Linked DNA regions of Saccharomyces cerevisiae S288C. Changing the gene in region 1 together with any one later gene gives a genetic interaction. Each region holds a gene or a part of one and is shown in the gene's direction. Other genes may lie near its edges. The genes, in order: GDT1 and VCX1.

What was found.
Region 2: mutations in GDT1 (region 1) and VCX1 impair growth when combined (synthetic growth defect), as found in Saccharomyces cerevisiae (one study listed by BioGRID).

The regions. Positions count from the first base shown.
Region 1 is NC_001134.8:601,113-604,309, forward strand, and holds GDT1 (putative ribosome biosynthesis protein GDT1), read left to right. Parts: upstream 1-1,521; coding exon 1,522-2,364; downstream 2,365-3,197. Other genes in the region: PCH2 (Pch2p), read left to right, coding at 1-991, 1,105-1,248; NTC20 (Ntc20p), read right to left, coding at 2,573-2,995. UniProt on the Saccharomyces cerevisiae protein: Divalent cation:proton antiporter that exchanges calcium or manganese ions for protons across the Golgi membrane.
Region 2 is NC_001136.10:230,459-234,404, forward strand, and holds VCX1 (Vcx1p), read left to right. Parts: upstream 1-2,193; coding exon 2,194-3,429; downstream 3,430-3,946. Other genes in the region: ribosomal protein P1 RPP1B, read left to right, coding at 1-69; YDL129W (uncharacterized protein), read left to right, coding at 566-1,441.

The DNA.
Region 1 (3,197 bases):
ATATCCCTTTTGCTGTCTGGAAGAGCAAGATGAGCTGAAAAATGGCAGCATACTGTCCACAGAGTTCGACAAGATTGACTTAGAACTAGACGAGGATGATGGTTTTGAGGGAGAAACTTTAAACAATTGTATCAATTCGGTGGGAAATTTTGACATTCCACTAAGTAAGCAAACACTAAACTTAGTAAATATATCATATCTTCCAGGCACAACTTTCGAGGGCCAATGGGAATCGTTGTATTTTGGTAACAATATTAAAGAAAGGTTATATAGCTACGCAACTATATCTCTCAAGATAGCAAGATTCAAACAAACTGGAGACTCCAATCAAGAAGACATTACAACGCTAATCACAAATAATAAATTACTCCTTGTCCATGGTCCTCCGGGAACAGGTAAAACAACGTTATGCAAAGCACTTTGCCAAAAATTATCTGTGAGGCGGGAATTTTCAGACGGTTCCGATACCATTGATACTAATTATAAGGGGATAATAATAGAATTGTCTTGTGCACGCATCTTTTCTAAATGGTTTGGAGAATCGTCAAAAAATATATCAATAGTATTCAAAGACATTGAGGAGCTTTTAAAGGTCAATGAGGGACGAGGGATCTTTATATGCCTTTTGATAGATGAGGTTGAAGCAATAGCAAGTTCAAGAACAAATTTGTCAAGTAGAAATGAGTCAACAGATGGAATCCGAGTTGTGAACACTTTACTTACGCAACTTGACAGGCTGAAAAAATACCATAACTTTTTAGCATTAGCCACGTCTAATTTATTAGATTCATTAGATGATGCTTTTGTTGATCGAGCAGATGGAGTTTTTTATGTTGGAAATCCAACAGCTGAGGGCATCCTCCACATTCTAAAGGTTTGCATAGAGGAGATGATAACTTCAGGTATAATTCTTTTTCACGCAAGATCAACTGGAGTCAAGTTCTTCAATAAATATCAGGACATTTTGCGGAAAATTGCTATCAAATGCTCGGTATGTTTTTTTCTTTTATTCTACTTTTACGATTCTTTTTCTTTCTTTCCTTCTTCATAAAAAAGCACTTTCACTAACTGTCTTTGTCAAACATAAATATGCGATCAATATAGACCGTTGATATCAGTGGTAGAACAATAAGGAAATTGCCCTTGATGTGTCTGTCTGAATACTTCCGGACATTTCCTGTAGACGACGATGAGTTTGTTCTGGCATTAGCTATGTCAGCGCGGAAGCTGAGCGCAGCGCGGAAGTGACGGAGGAGCTTTTTCCTTTTTTTCGCTTCTTTCTTTTGTCTCATACTCATGTAGCATACTTTCGCGAACCCTATTCCAACGTTTTGTTGTTGCTCGCTTTCATGCTTAAAATTTTTATTATGTATTTTACGATCAAGGTGTATCGTGAACCACACGTTTATGAAATCCTTATTTTAGAATCAAAAAGTCCTACAATCTTGTTTGTGGAGTCTATATAAAGCTAAAGTTAGGTTCTACAAAGCAAGATACAAATACGAGGCCATCGAGTATTCAATGGGAAATATGATAAAGAAGGCATCTTTAATAGCCCTCCTACCGCTGTTCACCGCCGCAGCCGCTGCAGCTACTGATGCGGAGACATCTATGGAATCTGGGAGTTCTTCACATTTGAAGTCTTTTTTAATGTCCGTTTCTATGATTGGGCTTTCTGAAATTGGTGACAAAACCTTCTTGATCGCAGCCTTGATGGCAATGCGTCACAAAAGAGTTCTGGTGTTCTCAGCAGCAGCTACCTCCCTCGCTATTATGACCATCCTTTCTGGTGTGGTGGGTCATTCAGCCGTTGCTTTTCTTTCTGAACGCTATACAGCATTTTTTGCAGGTATTTTATTCTTAGTGTTCGGTTACAAATTGACTATGGAAGGTTTGGAGATGTCTAAGGATGCAGGTGTTGAGGAGGAAATGGCTGAAGTGGAGGAAGAAATTGCCATTAAAGACATGAACCAGGATATGGATGATGTTGAAAAAGGAGGCGACACTGCGTATGATAAACAGCTGAAGAACGCTTCGATTGGTAAAAAAATAGTGCACAGGATTCGCGAATTAGCATCATTTATGTTTTCCCCAGTTTGGGTTCAAATTTTCCTGATGGTTTTCCTAGGCGAGCTAGGTGACCGTTCACAAATTAGTATTATTGCCATGGCTACTGACAGCGACTATTGGTATGTTATTGCAGGTGCTGTTATTGGTCATGCCATTTGCTCTGGATTAGCAGTGGTGGGTGGGAAATTATTGGCAACAAGAATTAGCATAAGAACAATCACTCTTGCTAGCTCGTTGTTATTCTTCATTTTCGCCTTGATGTATATATATCAAGCATTCACAACTCAGGATTGAGATGGTTTGTAACCGTATTCTTCTTGGATTCTCTCTTTTTTCTCTTCATATTTAAGTGTGAATCTTGAAAAGAATATTTATAGACATACGTAACTAGTGTACGGCTGATATTTATTTGATGTAGCTTTTTTTTTTGCTAAGTTCATCGCTTTTCTTTCCCAGCCAACCCAATGAAGTCTTGCGCACGCAATTGGTTGTAATTATCCGATCAGCCGCTATCATCATTGTCACGGTCGGGTTCCTGTAATACCCTTTTCCTTATTATTCCCTTAATTTTTTCATTCGTTTTCTTCTCGAGCACTTCCATAATAGGCGCTAATTTGGCTTTGAGATCGCTGGTTTCGCAAACCTTATCGATGTAACGCTGATGTTCGTTTTTTTGGGGGATAATATATGGCTGACCACTCTCTTTTTGTTTCGTCTTCTGAATAGTTTCTTGTACAAAACTATTCGTTGCGTTAGAGCTCTGTCCTGTTTGAATCACCGTGTCATATACAGGTTCATTTGAAATATTTAAACCAACAAAATCATTGGCTTCTTCTTTGCCTGTTTTGCCCAGCTGGTTGATACGGGCACGTAACTGATTTAATTCTTGGTCCCTTTCTAGTGATAAATCTCGCAGAGAGGGCATACTGGTTGTAAAAAGTAGTCGCAACAAGTAAGTCGTAAAAAAGTAGATGTAATGGAAGGCTTTGAAGGAACGGCTAGCCAGCTTTTCTGTATCATTCCTAGCCTAATTGACAGCATCTTGACCTTCTAGTATGGAAACTTTCAATTTCAGAAAGCGGTGTTCCCCGCTGCGACGATTTAATCCGTACATTTACACATCTGTA
Region 2 (3,946 bases), on another chromosome or scaffold:
GAAGAAGAAAAAGAAGAAGAAGCTGCTGAAGAATCTGACGACGACATGGGTTTCGGTTTATTCGACTAAACATACAAGGAAAGTCATTTTTTCTGCAACGTTTTTTTACCCTTTATGTATATATATTTACATATAAAATAAACCTCTAATCAATCAGTATTTAAAAATCGGAAGTAATGTCCATACGAAAGGGCTACGAGAATTTAACCATCTCGTTCTTTGCTAGAAATGGCACTGCGGGATAGCCCCTGGTTGCGGGATATCAGACCTGTCGTCACCATAGCAACCAAAAATTACATAAACCCATGGTTGCTCGCCCTTTGATGGCGACGCCGACCGAAGCTTCTCCCGCGCACATTTTTAAAATTTTTACTCATCGGGAATGAAAGGTTCTTTGACACATGTAAAGCTCCCTAAGTTGGACATACGTCGGTCCTTACAGGCTTAGCAATACACCTATAAGGCACTAGAAACGTATAAAATTTGAGCACTTTAGTTTCTCATCCCTTTTGATACGAAACGCGGGCAAGGCTACGGCATACAGGAATTTAACATTTTGTTGGCTATGGAGCTAAGAAGTAGACGGAGCGCAGAGGCCTATCTTGTCACGCCTGAGGAACCTGCCAAGAATAAGAGTGAACGGAGCATAGAATCCAATGAGAGGGTCGGCACGAGGGAAGCAAAGAGCGAGAACACAAGTGTATTTAGTCCCGCTTACTCTGATACCGCTACTACAGATTCATCGAAGAAAGTTGATGACAATGAATACTACAATTTTACTAGTCACTTCATGCCATCTTTGAAAAACACCAGAGAACTAGAAAACACAATTCTCAATCTCATACAGAGGATAAAGGAAGGGGATGATGAAACGTTAGTTAGTGAGAAAGATCTCATATTAAGTGTGCTTAACAGGTCTTTAGCATCCACATCTCACTGGAAGTTACAGGCCCAGCTATCGGAGTTAAGGGCCACCTCAGAGGGAAGGTATGCAGTTGAGACAAACTTGTTGAAAAAAGAGGTAGAATTTTTAAAAAACAAGACCCCAAAAACCAACGAAAGTGCAAGTTCCGCAGAGTTGAGACCACTTCTTGAACGACCTTTAAAGCGTAAACTGTCATTGCCAGGACTAGCGCAAAGACCATTATCCACTGGCGCTAGGCTAGAAGGAGGATATGGAGGTGTATCGCCGAACTCATGGAAAACCAAAGTTCCAAAACTTCCTCTTCCTGCTTCCCGGCCGTCTTTGAATCTTTCTCCCCAAAAAGTCCCAACGGGTACTGATAAAGTTGAGGAAGATACCAAAATTGACACATTGGAATTAGTAGAGAACAATAAACCGCATCCAAGGATGAGAAGAAGGAGTGACAATCCAGCAACAAACGAATATGTGAGAGTTTTTCATTTGGAGAAAAAAGAACCTAAATCACGAAAAAAATAGTATGCTAGAAAAAAATATTATTGAACGTCAATAATTTTTCTTTCTCATGGGACCAAACACATCATTTATTCTCTAATAATATTCTATTCTCTTTATTTCTGGTTTACTCTTTTAAAATTCTCCAAAGAGAAATATCTCCTTCAATTCTTCAGTTACGAATTTATGTTTACTTTTAACCTCTATCATACACCTTTAATCTAATGCCTCCAACTGTCTGTAATTTTAGTACAACTTAAAAGGGAAATTTTCCGAAAGTGTGAAAAAATTGGATTTTTTTTTCTCCTATTGAACTCAATGGAAGCTATCAGTTTGGAGAGGGACAATTATTTTCCTTCTTGTTTTTTGCCAAGAGAACAATATTGTAGTATTTAAGTTCTAATTTAATGTTATATATACTTATCTAATAGTTTTTTTTTTTCAATTAGATTGTTTTCCTTACGACGTTAATCCCTTGTCATCCTCACTTACGAACTTCGATGAATATGACATACGTAATCGGGAATGTTTTGTAAACTAATTGACGTAGTTCCTTTTTCGTAAACTGGACTGGACGGCTTGATCAAAATTCCCGAAAAATAAAAATTTCCCTCACGAGAATATGGAAATTACTATCGCCCAGCATTATTTTATCTCCTCAGAGAGTAAAAGAAGTTTCCTCTTTCCTAAACTTAAAAAGCAGTCCTAAATATATAGTTGACTTCGACGCATATCATTCATCGGCTGCTGATAGCAAATAAAACAACATAGATACAATGGATGCAACTACCCCACTATTAACTGTTGCGAACAGTCATCCCGCCCGCAATCCAAAGCACACTGCATGGAGAGCAGCTGTGTATGATTTACAGTATATTTTGAAAGCGTCACCCCTGAATTTCCTATTGGTATTTGTTCCTTTAGGTCTGATTTGGGGACACTTCCAACTATCTCATACACTGACATTTCTTTTTAATTTCTTGGCAATTATACCGTTGGCAGCTATCTTGGCTAATGCCACGGAAGAGTTGGCTGATAAGGCTGGTAACACCATTGGGGGACTGCTAAATGCTACTTTTGGTAACGCTGTGGAACTAATTGTTTCTATCATTGCCCTGAAAAAAGGTCAAGTGAGAATTGTGCAGGCCTCGATGCTAGGTAGTCTTCTTTCTAATTTGCTGTTAGTGCTTGGATTATGCTTCATATTCGGTGGATACAATAGAGTCCAACAGACATTCAACCAAACCGCCGCTCAAACAATGTCCTCATTACTTGCCATTGCGTGTGCATCCCTACTGATTCCCGCTGCCTTTAGAGCCACCCTACCTCATGGCAAGGAAGACCACTTCATCGATGGAAAAATATTGGAGTTATCCAGAGGCACCTCTATTGTTATTCTCATCGTTTACGTTTTGTTCTTATATTTCCAGCTAGGGAGCCATCACGCCTTGTTTGAGCAACAAGAAGAAGAGACCGATGAAGTTATGAGCACCATTTCCAGGAATCCACATCACTCTTTGAGTGTCAAGTCATCATTGGTGATACTTCTAGGTACAACTGTGATCATCTCTTTTTGTGCGGATTTTCTAGTCGGTACGATAGACAACGTTGTTGAATCTACCGGGCTATCTAAAACATTTATAGGTTTGATTGTCATTCCTATTGTGGGTAATGCCGCAGAGCATGTCACTTCAGTCTTGGTGGCCATGAAGGATAAGATGGATCTGGCGCTAGGTGTTGCCATCGGTTCCTCTTTACAAGTTGCCTTATTTGTTACACCATTCATGGTTCTTGTGGGCTGGATGATCGATGTTCCAATGACGCTAAATTTCTCCACTTTTGAAACCGCTACTCTTTTTATTGCTGTTTTCTTATCCAATTACTTAATTCTCGATGGTGAGTCAAACTGGTTGGAGGGTGTCATGTCTCTAGCTATGTATATTTTGATTGCAATGGCATTTTTCTATTATCCAGACGAAAAAACCCTTGACTCTATTGGAAATAGTTTATGAGTAAGAACAGTAGCGCAGAAATTCACCATTCTCTTTTTTTTTATATTTTATCTTCTTCGTAATTCTATCGATGGACCAATACAAAGATGATTATGACTAGCAAGTCATTATTATGATCGTTATATTATACATATTATGTTTACGCAACTAATTTTTATATCGAATTTTATCTGAAAAAAAGTTTTCAAAACCAACAAAATATTTTGTACACTCTTCGAAACTCAAATTCTGCACCATTTCCATTCTGATAAAAGGTTTAATATTTCGAAGCTTCTCAACTACAGCTCGTGTTCTTCTTGCAGCACATCAGCTGCTTTGCTGCACTGTTCAGGGTAACGTTATTCATTACAACGAGAATATTTAGGAATTTTGCTCAAATTCATGGAGCTTCCTACATCATTGCACAACAGAATTTCGTTTTGTAGTATAGTTTATTAGAAACAAATGTGAATAGATCATGAGACGCGAAGCCCTATTTTAGCGGATTTTAGCCTTACATTTCTGAGTGAGAATGCCA